Linked DNA regions of Callithrix jacchus. The protein of the gene in region 3 interacts with the protein of the main gene of each other region in a biochemical or structural test. Links are inferred from orthologs where the notes say so. Each region holds a gene or a part of one and is shown on either strand. Other genes may lie near its edges. The genes, in order: ISG15, YOD1 and USP21.

What was found.
Region 1: the proteins of USP21 (region 3) and ISG15 form a complex in vitro, tested with the Homo sapiens proteins (2 studies listed by BioGRID, with this or other methods). The link is inferred for Callithrix jacchus from reciprocal best matches to the Homo sapiens genes USP21 and ISG15.
Region 2: the proteins of USP21 (region 3) and YOD1 form a complex in vitro, tested with the Homo sapiens proteins (2 studies listed by BioGRID, with this or other methods). The link is inferred for Callithrix jacchus from reciprocal best matches to the Homo sapiens genes USP21 and YOD1.

What each region holds. Positions count from the first base shown.
Region 1 is NC_133508.1:39,227,078-39,233,199, reverse strand, and holds ISG15 (ubiquitin-like protein ISG15), read right to left. Parts: upstream 3,017-6,122; 5' UTR 2,955-3,016; coding exon 2,952-2,954; intron 2,571-2,951; coding exon 2,055-2,570; 3' UTR 2,013-2,054; downstream 1-2,012.
Region 2 is NC_133520.1:34,558,142-34,565,250, forward strand, and holds the start of YOD1 (ubiquitin thioesterase OTU1), read right to left. Parts: upstream 4,309-7,109; 5' UTR 4,144-4,308; coding exon 3,801-4,143; intron 2,828-3,800; coding exon 2,124-2,827; 3' UTR 1-2,123. UniProt on the Homo sapiens protein: Hydrolase that can remove conjugated ubiquitin from proteins and participates in endoplasmic reticulum-associated degradation (ERAD) for misfolded lumenal proteins.
Region 3 is NC_133519.1:21,022,234-21,029,342, reverse strand, and holds USP21 (ubiquitin carboxyl-terminal hydrolase 21), read right to left. Parts: upstream 6,923-7,109; 5' UTR 6,745-6,922; intron 5,813-6,744; 5' UTR 5,792-5,812; coding exon 5,192-5,791; intron 4,441-5,191; coding exon 4,381-4,440; intron 4,209-4,380; coding exon 4,088-4,208; intron 3,865-4,087; coding exon 3,753-3,864; intron 3,564-3,752; coding exon 3,408-3,563; intron 2,928-3,407; coding exon 2,863-2,927; intron 2,628-2,862; coding exon 2,524-2,627; intron 2,342-2,523; coding exon 2,255-2,341; intron 1,975-2,254; coding exon 1,896-1,974; intron 1,673-1,895; coding exon 1,565-1,672; intron 1,479-1,564; coding exon 1,364-1,478; intron 1,161-1,363; coding exon 1,070-1,160; 3' UTR 786-1,069; downstream 1-785. UniProt on the Homo sapiens protein: Deubiquitinates histone H2A, a specific tag for epigenetic transcriptional repression, thereby acting as a coactivator.

The DNA.
Region 1 (6,122 bases), on a different chromosome or scaffold from region 3:
CGGCCTGTATTTATTTATTTTTTTTTTTTGAGACGGAGTTTTGCTCTTGTTACCCAGGCTGGAGTGCAATGGTGCAATCTTGGCTCACCGCAACCTCTGTCTCCTGGGTTCAGGCAATTCTCCTGCCTCAGCCTCCCGAGTAGCTGGGACTACAGGCACGCACCACCATGCCCAGCTAATTTTTTGTATTTTTAGTAGAGACGGGGTTTCACCTTGTCGACCAGGATGGTCTCGATCTCTTGACCTTGTGATCTACCCGCCTTGGCCTCCCAAAGTGCTGGGATTACAGGCGTGAGCCACTGCATCTGGCCTGTATTTATTTTCAAAGGACTGGGTCGCCCGTATGCAGTGGTTGCAGTGGTTCACACCTGTAATCCCAGCACTTTGGGAGGCTGAGGCACACAGATCACTTGAGACCAGGAGTTCAAGACCAGCCTGGCCAGGATGGTAAAATACCCATCTCTACTAAAAATACAAAAATTAGGCCAGGTGAGGTGGCTCACACTTGTAATCGCAGCACTTTGGGGGCCAAGGAGGGCAGATCACGAGATCATGAGCTTGAGACCAGCCTGGCCAACACAGCGAAACCCTGTCTCTACTAAAAATACAAAACAAAACAAAAATTAGCTGGGCATGGTGGCAGGCACGAGGAGGCTGAGGCAGGAGAATTGCTTGAACCTGGGAGGCAGAGGTTGCAATGAGCCAAGATCGTGCCACTGCTCTCCAGCCTGGACAACAGAGCAAGACTCCGTCTCAAAATTTAAAAAAAAGGACTGGGTCTGTGGTGCACCCCCTCACCCCAAGCTAGCTACTGATCTCTGGGTCAGAGTATGACAGAGACTCTGCCCTGCCCTGACCCTGTGGGGGTTTCAGGAGAGACTCCTGGGCCAGCTTCAAGTGCCTGTTGTGGCAAAGGGATGAGGTGGGGACCAGAAACAAGGCTGGAGCTGAGACAGCCCCTGCTGGACACACTCAGGCACACAGTGGTCTTGGTGCAGCCAGATGGGGATCCCCCACCCAGACATGGACTCACAGACCACGGAGGGCTCTGTGTCTCCAGCCACATCCCCTCCAGGGCTCTGAAAGCTGAGGCCCAAGTGCCCCAATCCGGACTCTGTGTGTCCCACTGTGCCGTGTCCTTGAAGTGTCCTGGCCGACAGCTGGCTTCTGGGGGGACTCATTTAGCAAATTGGAATCGAGAGACAGGGAAGGGCACATCAGTGGGGAGGGGGGTATAGCTTGTACTGACTTGGGTCCCCCCACCTGGGACAAGCCCTTCTTCCTGGACAGTGTCAGCCTCAATTCCAGGTGCCCCCCACTGCTGGCCACAGCCCCTCCCTCATGCAGAGCCCTGAAGAGTGTGCTTGGGGCCACCCAGGCTGCCTTCTGCTCTTCTGCAGCTGGCCACAGTGGTGATGTGAGGTTCAGACCGTCTCTACTCCTCCCTAGCCCAGCCCAGGCAGGTGGAGCAGGCTGTGCATGCTGCCTAGGGATAACTAAGGCCCCCAGCCCCAGTTCCTGTGCAGAGCCTGCCTCACGGCCCACTGGGTAGGCCCCGAGGAATCACCCCTCACTGCTTCCATGAGCCTCCCTGGTAGCCTTTTGATCTGAGCAGGCTGGTCCCTGTGCAAGCCGTCTGCTGTCCCAGATGCTGGAGGGCCAGGTGGGTTCCATCAAATGCACCTCTTTTTCTTTCTCTAGAAGATAATTTCCCAAAGGGTGGGAAGACCTGTCTTACTTCAGTTTTGGGGGGGTCCCTATTTTGATCCCTCGAGGCTGTAACTGCAGGCCCTTCACTTGGCAACGCAGGCCTGGCCACCAGGATATACCCTGTGTTCTCCCTCCTGACTCCTCCCCTAGCCCCATCAGCAGGGTCAGATCAGAGGTGGCCCCTGGAGTGGCAGGTGCAGACACAGAGGCAGTTCTCCCTCCTGACTCCTCCCCTAGCTCCATCAGCAGGGTCAGATCAGAGATGGCCCCTGGAGGGGCAGGCGCAGACACAGAGGCATCCATTTCCCCTTGCAGCAACCTTTATTTCCAGCACTTGATCCTGCTCAGATGCTGGCAGGAGGCCCTCTGCTCAGCCTGCCAGGCTCTGCGCTGCCTCCCCGCAGGCGAAGATTCATGTACACGGTGCACAGGGGCTTGAGGTCATACTCTCCCAGCGGGAGCTGGTCCTCCATGGGCTTCCCCTCGAAGGTCAGCCAGAACAGGTCTTCCTGCACGCCCTCCTGCTGGCTCACTTGCCGCTTCAGCTGCGCCACGGTCTGTGTCAGTGCCACCTCATAGGTGCTGCTGCGGCCCTTGTCATTCCTCACCAGGATGCTCAGAGGTTCATGACAGCTGTCCACCACCAGCAGGATGGTGCTGCCGGGGCCCAGGCCCTGGCTGGCAAGGGGGACCCTGTCCTGCAGTGCCATGCCACTCGGGTAGATGGCCAGACGCTGCTGGAAGGCGTGCACACCGATCTTCTGGGTGATCTTTGCCTTCAGCTCTGACACCAACATGGAGTTGCTCAGGGGCACCTGGAACTCGTGGCCCCCCAGCATCTTCACTGTCAGGTCCCGGCCCTGCAGGAATCACACAGGCTCAGAGACTCTGCACCAGCCCCAGGCCCACCACACATGAGGCTCTGGCTGCACAAGCGCCTGTGCCCAGGGATACTGCTCCATCCACATGTTGTCAGCAGGGACCGCAGGCACAGAAGGCACTGAGGGGTCACTGCTAGAAGGTCAGCTGCCCACAGCCACCTTGTGGCCTCCCCTTACCTGCTAGGACGCCCCTCTGTGCCCCACCCCGACACTCTCCGGGGTGACCCGCTTTCAGGAGAACGTTCAGGTCACCTGGCTGACCACTCAGCACCCTGCACCCCCAGGAGACCCTGGCTGGGGAAGAGAGAGGAAAATGGACTGAACGCAGCCCCCCGCCCCCACCTGTGGCATCTGCCTTACCATGGCTGTGGGCTGTGGCACAAGCTCCCATACAGCAAAGATGAATGCGCTGCCTCTGGGCTGCCAGCTCCCGAGCCACCACCGGCCCTTTTATAAGCCTGAGCCGCACATGTCAGGGGGCGTGCCAGGGGAGCCTGAGCCTAGTGGCCAGATTCAGCTTCGGTTTCAGTTTCCTTTTCCCGAGGCAAGCCCGGGAGTGAGTAGAAGAAACAAAACAGAATGACGAAAACAGAGGGAAAAGCAGAAGCAGAGTAGGCAGGGTCTCAAGGGCACGGTCAGGGACAGGGACTCAGGACAGCGGACAGCGTCCCCACCCCTGCCCAACGCCCTGGAAACACCTGAGTATCCAGCATTCTGGGTCCTTCACGAGATGTAGTAACTCATCGTCGCATGAACGAATGATGGGCAGTTTTCATTTTCCATTTACCAGTTTGCAAGATTAGTAAACTTGGAAGTGAAACAGTGACCGTCCAAACTACCCAGAGATAACCTCACTTGGTTTAGGGAAATGTTTGCTCAGATTGGTGTTTTTTGTTGTTGTTTTTGTTTTTTTGAGACAGGGTCTCACTCTGTCCCCCAGGCTGAAGTGCAGTGGCACGATCTCAGTGCACTGCAGCCTCCACCTCCTGGGCCAAAGCGATCCTTTCACTTCAGCCTCTTAAGTAGCTGGGACCACAGGTGCACCAGCTAATTTTTTGTATTTTTAGTAGAGATGGAATCTCTCCATGTTGCCCAAGTTGGTCTTGAACTTCTGGACTCAAGTGATCCACCTGCCTCGGCCCCAAAAGTGCAGGGATGACAGGCCTGAGCCGCCACGCTCAGGCCTCATATTGTTTTTTAATAGAAGAGACATATCTTTTATTAAAAAAAAAAAAATGAATTCTGGGGCCCTACTGAGAAAGTGAAAAACAATCCACAGAATGGGAAGAAATATTTTCAAATTATTTCTCTGATGAGGGGCAGCATCCAGGGCGTACAAAGAACTCTTACAACTCAATTTTAAAAAGGCGAGTCAATTTTAAAATGGGCAAAAGACTTCAATAGACATTTCTCCAGTGACACAGAAACAGCTGCGTACCTCGGGAAGGCGGCCGTATCATTATTCATGGGGAAATGCAAATCAAAACCCCAATGAGAAGCTGATTTCGATTAGCATGACTGTAATAATGAAAATGAAGGCTCACTGAACATGTCCTCCAACATTTCAGGAGGCTGAGGAAGACATATCACCTGAGGTCAGGCGTTCCAGACCAGCCTGGCCAACATTTTTAGTAGAAACCTCATCTCTACTAAAATACAAAAATTAGCCAGGTGTGGTGGAGGGCACCTGTAATCCCAGCTACTTGGGAGGCTGAGGCAGGAGAATCTCTTGAACCCGGGAGGTGTAGATTGCAGTGAGCCAAGACTGTGCCACTGCACTCCAGCCTTGGCGACAGAGCGAGACTGTCTCAAAAACTAGTATAAAATAAAAATAAAGGACAATAACAAGCGTTGGTGAATGACTACACGGAGAAGTTGGAATCATGGCACATAACACTGCTGTTGGGAATGTAAAATAGTTTGGCCACTGTGATCCTCAAAATGTTAGACATAGAATTATTGAGTAACTCAGCATTCCACTTGCAGGCATGTGTTCAAAAGAATTGAAAACAGGTGTTCAAATACTTGCATACAAATGTTCATAGCAGCACAATTCACATTAGACAAATCTTGGAAACAGAGCAAACGTCCATCAGAGATGAATGGATAAACAAAATGTGGAATGTCCATGCAATGGAATATTATGCAGCCGTGAAAAGGACTGAAGCACTGATTCCTGCTACGATGTAAAAGAACCTCACAAACATTATGCTAAGGGAAAGGAGCCAGATACAAAGGCGGCAGGTTGTGTGATTCCACTTACTGCAGGAAAAATGCCCAGAACGGATAGACCACAGGAACAGGAAGTCAGGCCTGTTACCGGGGGCTGGGGAGGAGGGATGGGGTGATAACAGCCGTAGAGTGATGGTTGGACAATGTGATGAATAAAGGCCACTGGATTACATTCTTTAAAATGGTTAGTTTCATGTTATATGATTTTCACATCAATAAAAAGCAAAAGAGAAAAAGCCTCATTGTATGTTCACCAGTTTGTAATCTGCTTCATTCAGGAAACAATGTATCATAAACATCTGCCTAGGCCGGGTGTGGGTGGCTCACACCTGTAATCCCAGCACTTTGGGAGGCTGAGGCAGGCGGATCACTCAAGGCCAGGAGTTTGAGACCAGCCTGACCTGCATGGTGAAACCCCATCTCTACTAAAAATACAAAAAAAAAAAAAAAAAAAAAAAAGGCCGGGAGCAGTGGCTCACACCTGTAATCCCAGCACTTTGGGAGGCCCAGATGGGCAGATCACTGGAGGCCAGGAGTTCGAGACCAGATTGGCCAACATGGTGAAAACCCGTCTTTACTAAAAATGCAAAAAATTAGCTGGGTGTGGTGATGCAAGCCTGTCATCCCAGCTACTTGGTAGGAGAATCACTTGAGCCCATGACGTGGAGATTGCAGTGAGTGGAGATCACTCTACTGCACTCCAGCCTGGGCAACAGAGCAAGACTCTATCTCAAAAGAAAAACCCCAAAACACAAAACACACATCTATCCGCATTGGTGGATACATCTATGCAAGTTGTTTTAACTGCAGACGGGTCCCTGCCCACACAGAGTCGATTTAGTTAACCAGTCCCACATCACTCAGTGTTCCCAAATTGCTGCTGTGACATACAGCACATAGCAGGCAAGGGTAGCTAAGACTCAGCAATCATACATAACATTCAAATAAATAAGTAAAGGAGTGAAAAAACAACATATTCTGAATACGAATCGTGGGCCTTCCCCTCTCCCAGCAAAAATCTAGTGGGGCACAAACATTGTTAGCATGTAAAAACCAAAGACACAGCCGGGTGCAGTGGCTCGCACCTGTAATCCCAGTGCTTTGGGAGGCTGAGTCAGGAGGATCACTTGAACCCAGGAGGTTGAGGCTGCAGTGAGCTATGATCTCATCACTGCACTCCAGCTTGAGCAACAGAACAAGAACTTGTCTCATAAAACAAAACACAGGCCAGGTGTGGTGGCTCACACAGCAACATTGGAAAGCTGACACGGGAAGATCATCTGAGGTCCAGGAGTTCAA
Region 2 (7,109 bases), on a different chromosome or scaffold from region 3:
CTTTTCATTTGTTAAATTTACCCACCATAGACGATATATACTGAATTTTAAAGTGACAGAAATTTATGTTGGAACATATCAAAACATAGGACACAAACATATCAAAACATGCCTGGCACAGTATAAATTACTCAATAAATATTTGTTGCATGAATAAACTTGTAGATCTAAAGCTGCATTAAGCAAATGTCAAATTTGTCTCCTAAAGTAGCAATGGAAGGCAAGATTTATGAGTAATGATGCATAAAGCTCAAACTGATGGTTGCTGTCTAGTGGTATAGTCTTAATTTACAGTTTTAAATTTAATATTTTCTGGGAGAAATAAGAAAGATGCAAAACCAAAACCATCCAGACCAGATATTTTCAATCCTATTAATTTGAACATGATTGCCAAACATTAAGTATTGTAAGCTCACAAGTGCTATTTTTAAGGCTCAGTAAAATAGAAAACTAAACACTGTTAAGTTATACTAACCATAATAGCTTATACTGTCTAAAATAACTATGCACACAAAAGATATTCAAGAAATGTCATCTGATGATTTCAAACATATTTTGTGAATTGTTCCTTAAAAGTACTTTTTTCCTATATTGCTCAAACGTTCCTTAATTTTATATGGCCACCTTCACCAAGTGAAGTGCTAAAAGTAAAGGTCAATTTTAAAACATCTGCCAGGAAGATAGGCTGAAAAAGAACTAAGTGCTTTAAAGTATACCATTGATACTCTGAGATACTTAATAAAAAATAAGACCAAAACAATCAAACTTCACAACATTAAGCCTCTTCACATTATGTGAGATAATACATAACATATGATAATTTAGCATCCCTGATCAGAATAATTAAGAAAAGAGGTAGAAAACTTTATCTGGAAGATCTTGTAGTGAAGCTAAGTTTTAGAGGGTGTGCCTTGCGGATTAGTCCACCAAGCAAATGGCTACACATCTAGTATTAGGAAGAAGCAGAATTCCGAGAAAGCTGCATAAGGCAAGGATTTAAACATATTCCTATTTTGGAAGTGAAACAAATTCATTCAACAGCATTACTCCAATTACTTCAAAAATCAAAGTAAAAGATTGCAGATAAGCAAAGTGCTAATTTGCAGAAATGTGGAATTCTTTAAAATCACATTAGTGGAGGGATAAGGCCAGCACAAAAGCAAACACTGTGTAGGTATGCAAAAAAAATCTTACAAAAACCAACCCAAAGCAGAGCATTATTACTTTAGTTGAAAAAAAAAAAATTTGGATAAAGTGCTCTTAACACAAGGCTGAGAAAACTAAATCCCTCCAGACAAATCTTTATGCAAATGAAGGGAAAACTGAGCACTCAAATTTCAAGGAATTTCAATTAAAAAAATACCCTGCTTAACTTCAAAATGTTATCCAATGTGACAACCAATACAAGAATTGCATTAAAACACGAGGCCAACGGTCTTTTTAAAGCTTCAGTAAGCTGCTCAGGCACCTTTTCCCTCATACATTCTACTTTTTATACACTAGATATCTTAAACAGGGCACAATCAGTTCCTGTTTTGTGATAACATTCTCAAGGGAAACTCATCCCTGTAAAAATTGCTTGTGATGTACTTATCAGTGGTTAAGCACACATTTATAAAGTCTACCAAATTGCAATATAAAATCAGTTTGGACAATTCTGAGTATCTTCATTTGATGAATCAATTCATAATTTAGAAACTTAACTCATTCAGTTTTTAAAACGACTCAGTTACTGGAGACACTGGTAAATGTCCAGTGGCCTCACAGGCCTTCCACATTACCCAGAATGTGATGTTTTCTTCTAAAAGTTAAAGCTGCTGGGTGCTAGTTTATAATACTAAATCTCAATCTTCAGGTCAGTGTCAGTAGGTGGCAAGGATCACCTCTGTCACTCCAGCAGAAAGAGGCATGTATGTACAGTCTACCATTGTAGACACACATCTGTAAACTTGCACACTAATTTTAATCTTAACAAGGAATTTCAGTGTCTTAGTGGTTTTAAGTTAAAAGGATGGTTCAAGCATTGTGTCCTTTTGTTCTTTAGGGTTACAATAGCTTATTGGAAAACCCAGAGCCTTCTGGATCTGTGAGGTAGTAGGCTTCAACCCTCATTCATGCAGAGATCACACTTCTCCAAAGTTGGTATGGCCTGTCTCCTTGGCATGTTCCCTTGCTTCTGCTTGTCCAGTTAATCCTTTCTGACATACCATGCATCTCAGGGTGAAGCGGTTGACATCAGTAAACTGTCTCCTTTTCCTAGCTTCATCTGCTAGTTCCAGTGCTTGTACGAGAACGATATCATCATTAGAGGAGAAAATGGTCAGAGGAGGTGTGTCTGGATCGGGGAAGTTCCGCTGAAGTGGATCATAGTGGATGCCGTCATAAATAAGCAGAACCCTTTTGGTATATCCTGCATCTTCCCCAAAACGATCAATTCTTACTGTCTGTGTATCCACTACACATATTTCACATTGGTAAAACTTGGACAAAATCGATATCTCTATTGCTCCTCCCCAAGTGTCATCCCTTTTGATCCAGTCACAGTACTCTTGATTTGTTTTTCCCAGTATTGCCTCACTATAGAAGTCTGGATCACTTGCTACAATTTGTGCTATGAGGCGTCTCATCTCAGGAGCACAAGCTGGATTCAAGACTCCTCCTTCAACGACATAGTACACACTGGTAAAGAGGCAAGAGTTGTCTGCTGGGACCACGGTTCTGGCAAGCACAGGCAAAGTTTCCCTGACGTAACTAGAAGCACCATGTTTAGTAAGTGAAGGTGAACTTTTGGGCCTGGTTTGGTCTTCTTCAACGATCAGCATGTCACCTGTTAAAAAAAAAAAAAGAATTCAGAACTGCAGAGAAATTACAGAAGAAACTGAAGTGTTCACTAGCCACGTCTGTAAATTACAAACTGAAGGAGTTAAAGCATAAACTGGGGTTACTAAGAAGAATACAGCTTTGCAAATAAGTGACCAGTAACAATTTTTATTCACTGAATTTTCATAAAGATGAAAAAAGAACAAAGAACAAAAAACACTTCAGATTGCACCCCAATTTAGTCAAGGGGTCTAGAGTATACAACTTGAGGCTTACTTAAAAAGATATATTCAAAAACAAAATTTCATTTCCTTATACAGTATCTTACAGAAGGTGCTCACTACAAAGTAGGCCGCTAGGGGGTTCTCCTTCTCCGGAAAATTATCTACTCTATCGAGTGTTTACAGCGTCCTTGATACAACTGGAAGCTTTTAATTATCAACACTGATGTTCAAGTTTTAATATGGCACAGAAATAAACTGCTCCTGGTTAGAACTTGAAAGGGCTTTCAGTGGGTGTCTAAAAGCTAACTCTAAAATGAATATGCCTATCAAACGAAGTATCTATGAAGGCGACCGCAAAAATGAACCAAGAAAAAAAAAAAATCCTGCACCCTTAAGACCTGATCGATGATATAGGGAAAAAGAGACATAAATAAGGACAGAGAAAAGAGGCCCTACTTCTTTTTATTTTTGTGAACGCCGAGGGAAAACAAAATCAGATAGTTTCAAAGCCGACCAGAAAGCGGATTGGGTAAGGGGGACTTCAAGGCTGTGGGTTGCTTTTCAAGCCTGTGTAAAGACCAGGAGTTGCTAGACACTTGCCCCGGCTTGCGTCAGAGTTCTCTGTTCTTTGATCTATCCTCACCCCTGGTCTCAAAGCCCCAGTTGACCCACAGCCACCGTAACTAGCTTTCTATTCTCTCTCACGCCCCTCTCCGTCCTCCCGAGACTTTACTGGCCCCAGCCCTGATTCCTTACCAGATTGGATGGGCAAGTCCTCCAGAATGGTATCCCCATTGCTGAGATCCAGGCACTCGGGAGGGTATCCGACGAGGATTCGCTGACCGCCGGGGGCGATCCCGGTGATGGCGGCAATTTGGCCCTGGAGTTCCCACACCCTGGTCCGGCTGGACAGCCCCTGCAAAACATGGGTGCCGTCCTTGGCCTTGCAGCGGAGCCGCCACATCGTGTCGGTCCGGCTGCCCACAGGCCAGACACCCTCGGGGCCAGCTTTGGTCCCGGCAGCAGGTTGAGAGTCGCCGCCGGGACAACCAGGAGCCGGGTGGACTCCAAAATGGCGACCTTTAGCGGGGCCAAACATCGCGAGAAGTTGCGCGTGGTTCCAGTTCTCGCGACGCTTCGAGCTCTGCTTCTGCCTTAGCACCTTAGCAAGCGCGAACACTTTTAAAGTGATAACAATTTTTTTTCCCCACCCTCAGAACGAAGATGTAAACCTCCGTATTCCTAAAGGACAACGGGTCTTGCTACCTGTAGAGCGAGTGAGGTAGCATATATGCTCAAAGAAGAGGGCGGGGGAAGGAGTTCCTGAATGAAGCCGTGGAGATTGGAATGTGACCTGGCACTTAATGAGGTCGGAAATTATTAAATCGGGGCTTCCACACTATACCCAGACTACACCAGGAGAAACAGAATCATAGCTCACAACGCAAATGAATGCCAGGAATGGTCGGTGAGTCAAAGGACCAGTCAAAAACAATCCTACTTGTGACTAGACTCGTGGCTGCATTAAACATTGACTCATTGGAGTTTCAGGGGCCAAAGGACTGACCTTTCCACCTCCCGAGACTGTGCTTGAAAACGTCTATTTGCTACATCAGAAAGCACAGTCAGCATCTGGGCACAGGGCAGTTGCCTTATTCAGGTGGTGGCAGTGTAAGGAGGAGTCGTGAAACAAGTGTCATCAGATTCCAGTTCAGTTCCTGGGCATAGAAATATGAAGACTTCATTCCTGCCTTCAGTGTAACAAGTATTCATTGCGACTGAGCGAGAGGGTGGAGTGTGAGACACACAGCCACTGAATTTCAAAGCAACGTGACAATGCTAGATTACGTGTACCTTTTCAACCATGTATGCCTAGAACCCAGGACTTTGCCTCGTAAATAAAAAGTGTTCAACAAATACTTGCGAATGAATAAAGACAGAGTTGTAACACAGAGAGGGCTACTAGAGCGCTCTGGGAGTTGTAAAAGCCTCAAAGAGGCGATAACTATTTGAACTTTAGGAAGAATGAATTTAATTCCTAGGCGAAGGAGGAATAAAGACATCCGTGAATTTATATTTGTCTTTTTCAAGAAATCCATACTCATTGTTCTTTATACAGCCGGGATCCAGACAGCAAGTCCCACCTGCCTAGAGTGGGTTTATCAAGCATCAGACGGGCCCGCTGGGGCAACTATGAAAAGTGTAGTTCACGTGGAAGGTGCAAACTCATCTCCTGTAAAACACTTAGCTTCTGAATAAATTATATGTAATCTTTTCACACCTTTAATGACTCAATTTTTTTTTCTGGTGCAATTTTCCTCCTTGGTTCTTCAAGACGATCACCACAGATGATACAGCCTGGGTTGGGGGCAGGTAGGAGGGAAAGTAGGAATGGTTAGAAGCCCACTGGGGTGTATGGGTGGGTCCAGGGAAGCTTCTGGTTCAAAGATGAGAGTAGTTGATTTTCTTAGGGTACAGCTTCTGACCTGTGGAGAGGGATATGTAAACACCCTAAGGTATAATCAGCTCAAGTGTTGTGGTAGTTTATTCTAGAAAAAACATCTTCATAAGCCTACGTTCCCATTTAGGGATCTAACGAGGTTGTGCTGGGATTCAGGAATGAGAGCGTTAATTCTTGCAACACTTTCTCATCATCCAAAGTACACACTCCCTCTCAAGGCGCCTACTGAATAGTTCACTCTCGCGAGAGTCAGAAAAAAAGCCGGGCTTTTTATTAACCCCGCCCCCAGCCCTATTAGTTACTAAGCAACGATGCCACCAGGCTCCACGGCGCTGGGAAACTCGGGAGCTGGTGATCTCTCGGGTTCCCACTTCCACCCGCCTTCCGGAGCCCTCGTAGGCAATTGTGACCTGGCCCCGCCCCCGGGCCCTCCAGGCCCCCGATTGGTGGATGATTCTCTCCAGGTGAGGACCTAGGCTCGAAGGGGTGGGGCCAGACGGGCTCACGTGATTTGCCGGCAACTGGAGCGCCCGCCCCGGCCACCAGCTGTCGGTTCGGTTGCGTTACTGGGGAGGCGCCGGGGCCAAGGCAGGGAGGGATCATAGGAGAGATCGTAGGGTGAGCCACAGCTGCGCAGCGCCGGGTAGGGTCTAGCGGGCTGGATGAGGGGGCTGCGTGCCCCTGGATGAAGTGCGGGGCGAGGTGCTGGTCCCCGGGCACTGCAGGGAGCGCGGACGTTCTGGGACCGGCAGCTACAGCGGGTGTTTGGGTTGGAGGATTTGTGTGGTCAGCGTTGGAATCATGTAGGGCTCTTGAAGCCGCAGGACCTTCCGTCCTCACCAGCCCCCTCCTGTCTGAGTTTGGGGCATGAGCTCAGGGGTTTCCCATTCCAATTCGAATCAGGGCTTACCCCTCTTTCTGAGGTGACCTTGGGGAAGTCATTTACCACCTCAGCTCTCCGGTGTTCTTTAGACTGAGTCCCGAGGGTAACTGGGGAGAGAGTGCGGAGCATGGCGTGAGAATGCACCAGAGTAGAAATAACGACGTGCTAAGGCTGTCTTGGGGTTCAGTTACTGTTTTTCCTTCAGGGAATATGTTCGAGATTTTCCCACGTCTCTCACTCTTTTCTTTTTTCTTTGAGACGGAGTCTGTCTCTCTCTGTCGCCAGGCTGGAGTGCAGTGGTGCGATCTCTGCTCACTGCGACCTCTGCCTCCCTGGTTCAAGCGATTCTCCTGCCTCAGCTTCCCAAGTAGCTGGGATTGCAGGCACGCAAGACCACGCCGATAATTTTTGTATTTTTAGTAGAGTCAGGGGTTTCACCATGTTGGCCAGGGTGGTCTCGATCTCTTGACCTCGTGATCTGCCCACTTCGTCCTCCCAGAGTTCTGGGATTACAGGTGTGAGCCACAGCACCCGGCCTCACTTTTTTCAAAACTGAGACCTAAGGTTAGATTGGAGTTACTTTCTTGGTAATGAACTTGGTCTATTTATAACCCACCCCACCCCAACTGCTGCTGCTACTCTGCCCAGATTCTTAAAACTAGAATCTGAGGCCCTGAAAGAACTTGAACATGCCACTTAATTCGATGACTCTCAAATTTTC
Region 3 (7,109 bases):
CCACGCCTCGCTAGGCCAACAAGTGCTTCAAATCCGCTACTCCCACCCCCAACCCTTTCGGTCTCTCCGACTTTCCGTCCACTCTATTCTCGCGGCACGCGCCTGACCCTATCACTCCTACTTCGGGATTGGCGAGCGCTGGAAGGTCCCGGATTACGTTCACCAATGAAAACACTGAACTGGCAAAGGAGAGGCGACGGCCGCTGGAAGAGCCGGAGGTTAACCGCGTCAGCGTCAAGCTGGAAGTGAGCGGCAGTACCCGGCGCTACGCTCCCTAGGGCCGCTGCGGCGAGCGCTGGGGAGTTAGCGTTCCCCAGCAAGCTTCGTACGCCCAGCTAGGGTGACAACCCTGGAGGGAAGGCCCCAGAAGCTTGGTTCTAGGGAGAGTAGATAGGGACACTGGAGACCGGTCCACGGGGAGGCGGTTCCATAAACAGCTCCTTGATGTTAGCAACAGACCGAGCCTGCGGGAGCTAGGGCCGCCCGGCAACGTACCGTGTTTGTCAACAGTGTCAGTCCCCATCGCCCACCAAACCCGTCGCCCCAGAGCTTGCACTCTAGTTCAGGCCTCCTGGCAGCCTCACTCAAGTGTACCTTCCCTCTTTTCCTCCCAGTACTTAACCTTCGCTGCTGGGGCGCACAGGTCCGGGTCCAGCACCATCCCCGAAACCTTCCCCCTCGGCTCTAAGAGCGCCCCCACCTGTTACAGAGGGAACTGGGTCCCAGGAAGCCTCCAATTTAGCCCAGTCCTGTTTCACCCCCTAAGCAAAAATACAAATAAGCACGTCATTTTTTTCTTAATAAATTTATTCACAAAAAGTGAAATTGCAGAGGGTCTGGGGGCTGTACATGGGCAAGGGCTTGGTGAGCTCTGTACATGGGGCTGGGAGACAAGGGAGCCTCCAGGTGGAAGGGTACTTTTTATTAAAAAAAATAATGGAGCTACGACCACCCCCTCCCCCCTCCCCGATTAAAAAGACACAAAAATAGACGTCTCTGAGGTAAATGGGGAGCCTGGGGCTTAAGGGTGTTTAAAGGACTTCACAGGTGCCAGGGCTTAGAGAGGGCATCACAGGCACCGGGGTGGCTCCTGCATCAGTTGGTAGAACAGCACGTAGCCCTCGCTGGATGCCACCTGGTTTTCACTGACAGGGGAGACACTAGGAAAAAGGAGATGGGGAACAGGTTGTAGTCATTCCAGTTTACCCCCTCCTCCCTACATCAGAGCATCCAGGAAGAGATCAGGCAAGACCTCCACCTCTCCTTTCACCTGGCACTCTGCTCTCCTGGGGCTTCACAGAAGGGGAGAGTGTCAGGGCTGCAGTGGGAATGGGGCAGGATGTAAACAGGAGGCTGTTCTCACCGAGAGTCATTGTAGACATGCCAACCAGTCTGGCACCGGCACAGGGCTGTGTAGTGGCCATAGTGGACGCTGCCTGAGTGGTTGCAAAGGGCATACAGCTGGTATACAGGACTTCCTGCGAGGTTGGAGATGATCAAGTTCTAAAATCAGAGCTGTGCCCCCACTCCTTCAGCTCCTTAGAACCTTCCCCACCAGACTCACCGGCTTTGTCACTGGCAAAGTCCCCTAGGCTCAGTCGTTGCAGTGGAAAGTCTACACCTACTGAACTTTTCTTGATGGAGCCTCGGGAGGCAGAAAATCGATTCAGATCTAAGCCCTGGTTAAGGAGCATTTGGGAGGCAGAGGGCCTCTGAGGGGGACTTCTGTCCTGAAGGCTGTTCTTTCCCCCCTCCCAACACACACGCAGAGTGGCCTGTGGAAAGGTGGGTGGTAGGCATTTCCTAGGGAAAATTCAATTCTCTGGAAACATGGAGAGTGAGGAAAGAGAATGTATGGGAGGTATCCTAAGAGAAGAATATGAAGATTAGGATATGGAGCACAAGGATCCGGGGGAATCTTTGTACTGTCAACTTTTTGGTACTTCGAGTTTTCTGCCGACATCGGTCACACACCTGAATAAATGGCAAACAGTGTTGGGTTAATGTGATCCTAACCTCAATTGGCTTTTCTGACACCCCAATCCATTCCGTGTGCTCCCAATTATGGCCAGATCCTCTCGGCCTCTCCCCTTTGCCCCAGGAGTACTAGAATGTGTCTGAGACTCCTACATAAATCCAGATACGGAAATATTATTCCCCATACTAAGGCATCATGCAATCCCTTTTATTCACATGGAGTCCCCCCAGGTCTCCCACCCTTACTATAATATAACCCTTGTGAACCTCCACATACTGGGGCATTCTCCGACTCTAGCTCTTCTTCCTTGGTGAAAAGGTTGAAACAATCCCGCAGAGACACCTTGCCCCCAGCAAATCCTTTCTGGGGAAAAAGGGGAAGAAAGGGTCAACATGTTCTGAATTTCCTTTTCCAACTCTTCTCAATCAATCCAGGCTTCAGTTCTGCTCCAGAGACCCACAGGGTTCCCTCCCACATTTTGGGGTGGGTAGGCTTGGGTCACCGAGCCCTTGTCCTATCCACCCTGGAATCCTCTGGAATCCCACCTTGGGGATGGGCAGGGACAGGTCACAAAAAACCTCGAAGGTCGTGGAGCGATACCCACAGGCCTGGCACTTGAGACAACTTTTCAACTGGCCCACAAACAGGTCTAGATAGAAGCACAGGGACAGGAGAAAAAGTCATTGTTGGATGCCATGAGATGATTTCTTGATTTCCATCTCTTCCTGCCCCTTTCCCACTACCAACACTCTAACCAACTCTTCACACAACATTTGCATCATCCAGTCTCATTCCCATACCCCTTGATAGTATCGATTTCCTCCCCTCAAGCCTGTACCGCCTCACACACTAATGTTCCCTCATTGCTTTGCCCCGTTCCATACCCACAATCTTGCTGTCCTCTCGCTCCAGGTAACGTTTCCACATTAGGTTGGCTCGGTCATCATCACTACCACAGATCAAGGGAAGTAGGAAGCACCCATGAGACAGTGGGAACACTGGGCACCCCCAACACCCACCGAAACAACCCACAAAGCCCTATACCCCACCCACACCCCTGCTCCTTCCCTAAATCTCAAGGAAAAGTCAAAGAAATAATGCCTCAGTGAACTTTCTAGGGAAATCCAAGGTGAGAGGAAAAGAAAGGAATGTATACAAGGAAAGAATATGCTGTCATCCTCTACTTGTAAATTAATTATCCCCTTCTCCTTCTATTTGGTGACATCCCTAGCATGATCTGCCTCCATCTGCTCCCCTTAGACTCCCCCTCTTCCTTCCTTCCATTTCTTAGAAGAGCTTTTCACACTATATTCTGTACTAAAGGGTTTCCCTGGACCCTAAATCTTCGATCTTGACTAGTTCAGTTCTATGAAATGTGAATGCTGTGGATAAACTACTGGGGAGAGGAGGTAGGGGGAGTGACCCTTACCTTAAGTCAGGTTCTTCTAGCAGAGCCCCTCCTCGGCAGGGTGGAGAGGGAGCTGGACCGCTGGCAAGGATTGGTGGAGCCCGTCGGCCTCGGCGGTTGATTTCAAGGTGCAGCCGCTCCATGAGGAGCTTCAGGAACTCTTGGGCATCCTGTTGGCTACAGCCAGGTAAAGAGTATGGGCAACTGACCCCCCTCCTAGTCCACAGACACTATTCCCTGCCCAGATATCAGTCCCCACCTCCTGGATAAAGAACACAAGGCTCAGAACAGTGCTGTCAAGGCCCTTGCTTGGCCCTACCCCTAGACATGGCCAGAGAGAAACCCCATAGCCTCCAGCTCTCCCACCTGTATCCAGAGAAGGAGGGAACATATTTCTGGAAGACAGCTCGGAATCGAGTAGGATTCACAGCTTCGCAGGAGTCAGGGTGCCAGAGGGCACCAATCACATCTGCAAAGGCTGTTGGGATATGAGTGGGGAAGGGAAATGGAGATTAATGTCTGGAAGAGGCAAGCAACAGGTGGCTAAGAGGGCGAAAACAACCTTTAGGAAAGTAGGCACTGGGAAAAGTAGATACAACTGCCAGATTTAAGGGCTGGGGGCCAGCAGCACTGGCAGATGGACCTGCAAGTGGTTGGGGAAAAAGGGACTTGAACAGAGGGAGCAGGAATTGTTGCCCCACCTTCAGTGAGCTCTTGGGCTCGGCCTCCTCCAGGCACCTCTTGCCGGAAGTCCCTTCTCAGACAGAAGTCCCGAAGAGGTCGAGTGCTGCTCAGACATTGCAGCACAGCATTCAAGAAGCACTGGGGAGCAGCAGGGACACTGCTGTTGTCTCTCCAGACCATTGCCCTGGAAGCCTTAAAAGAGCTTCAGAGCTCTCCTTCCACATGCCTTCCCCAAGCTTGCGGGTTTTCCCCAGCCCCAGCACCATTTCACATTCCTTTTAGAGAGGAAAGATAGGAGAATGACTCTCACCGTGTTTCCCAGGTTTCGAAGGCCAACATGACCAGAGCCTAGAAGCAGTGTGTGATGAGCCTGGAAGGTCAGAGTACAATCGGCAAGTTCCTATATATCCTAGCTGGCACTTTATCTTTTCAACAGCATGCTGTCCACTGCCTCCCTCATCCCATGCATGTTCCATCCCCAAACTCTACCCTTTTCCCCTCACTAGGTATTCTAGTCTCCCTACCTCACTGGTCATGAGCAGTAAGCCCATCACAGCTGAATGTACCACGGACTCAGCCATGGCTGTCCCACCTGTTGCCCACTTACTCCTCTGCTCAGCTAGCCGACGTTGCAGCTCCTGGGGCAACTCCCCAAGAACTGGCATGGTTGCCCAGCTGCTCACCACTCCCACCTTTCTGCCCCCAAAACCCCCTCCTGCCCCCGTGGCCCCTTCTTGCCCTTTCTCCTGCTGACTCCAATTGCAATCAGCCTAGCTTACTTAGCTCAGAAAATGTAAAACCACATTTGCTAAGATGTTCTGAGCCCGCCTCTCTTTAGCTCCAGAGATTAATTAGGCCCAGGCAGAGTCCCAGCAGATAAGATACAGCAAGGGAAAGGAAGGGCCTGCGAACCCAAAGAAGAATTCTAAATAGTTGGGCTAATTCCCTGGGGACTGAAACAGCACACCATGCTGGGGTCACCAACAACCCAGAAAAGGGTCTGGGAGGCTCAAGGGTATGAGAAAGGAACTTGAAGGAAATGGGGACAGGAAAGGCAGAGGATGGCAGAAAAGCATAGAGGAACATGGTCATGAAGGCCATATGAGCTGTCAAGTCCTCACCATCTTGTCATCAGAGTAGAAAGGCTCAGAGGACCGGGCGGATATCATGTGGAAGGAGCCATGGGAAGCAGGGGGCTCTGTCCGTATGCTGAACAGGGTTGGGGGTCCAGGAAAGCCCCCTAGGCGGCGGAGAGAAGTGCTACGTCTCAAAGTGGGTGGCTCAGGCCGGAGGGCCAAGCGGCTCAGCGCAGCCCCAAGCTCTCCGGTGCCACGGTGCCCTCCCAAGGCAATCCCCATCGGACGCAAGTCCCCACTGCTCACAGACTTGGAACGGGTTAAGTTGGTCCGAGATGGGAGAGGCAAAGCCACAGTTGGGGGTGGTGAGCCAGGCAGGGGAACCCCATGATCTGCTCGAAGGGGGCCTCTGGGACGAGGGCCTGAGGTACGTCCCCGTCCCAGCTCCAGTTTCTTGAGCCGTTCATCAGGGGGACCTGGCCGGGGAGGCAGAGGTCGTAACATGGGGTTTGGCCCAGAGGCTGGGTTTCTGCGCTCCTTGCTGCGGGCCCTGGGGGCAAATGGTAGCTTGGATCCCACTCGGGGCTGGATATTAACAGGTGGCTCTCGGGTCCGGCCCAGGCGGTGCTCAGAGGCCTGGGGCATTGTGGACACCACAGACTGGACCTGGGAGGAGAAGAGAGTGTCAGCATTTGAACATGGGAGGAAACAGGAACAGGCTACTGTACTGCACCCTGCCACACTAATTTTCCCTTATTGCTTTGCCCCATTCCATACCCAATATTTTGCTGTCCTCACACTTTCCACATTAGATTGGCTCAGTCATCACCACTACCACATCAACAAAAGTGGGGAGCAGTATATGCACTAAGGGCAGGAACCAGGTCTACTGAATCAGCCATCATATCCCCAATACCTGGCATTGTGTTTGGTATAAATACTTAGTATCTATGGGGTAAACGAATGAAGGAAAGATAGCAGCCCATGGCTTTGACCCTTTCTATACTCCCGTCCCCTGCCTGCAGAATACAGCTTTACTGAAAATCCAGTGATAACTTCTATCTGGGCTCTAACATAACATGGGACCCCACACCTGGCTAATAAAGTAGGATGTGCCTCGAGTCACTTAAGATCTCCAACCAAATGATAGTGCAGATGCAAGAATAACAGCCCCAAAGATAGCCCTCCATCCTCAAATCCCTGCCCCTTTGGGCTGCTAAATGAAGCAGACTAAATGGGTGACTTACGATCCATTCCCTCCCCCATCTTCGACCTCCGACATTGTGTCGAGGTTCAGGGGCAGTGATCGGGGTTGGAGGACGAACAACTCCTAGACCCTTAATCTCTGCACCTCTCCCACCACAGCAGGGCTTTAGCCGGGTCCGCCCCCCTCGAGGGCAGAAAGGCCGAGGCCGCTGATTGGCTACGGAATCCGGCGGGGTATTCTCCGAGGTCCAGGGATGCTGTCCCTCCAGCCCAGTTCTCCCAGGTCCCACCGGGCCCCACGCGCCTTTGTGGAGAGTGTCCTCTCGGGTCTGGAGCAGTCTTCCCTCTGCGCCCCCCCACACCCCGCCATGCCATAACGCCCCGGCCCGTACCTGTCCCCCGGTGAGGCGGCGGGAGAGGCCAGCCGGGGCCAGGTGCAGCTCAGGGCCACCCCCTACTACCCCCGTGCAGCGCCCCCGTGGGCTCGGCTGCAGCTTTAGCCGCAGCCGTTGCCCAGATCGCTCCCGCCGCAGGGGCCGCCGCCATCTTTGTTGGTCCCGCCCGGCCACCGGCCACCGGCTTCACCGGCTCTCAAAGCGCCTGCGCATCCACACTCGAACTCCTCCCACCCGGCCCCTTGGCGCTTGCGTGAGCCCGCCTCCAAGGCTCCGCGATCGACACCAAGGAAACGCGGCCAAGTTTAGGGCCGCTAGTTCTCAACCTTGTCCAGAGTGGGCTTTAATCCATGACTCCAAAG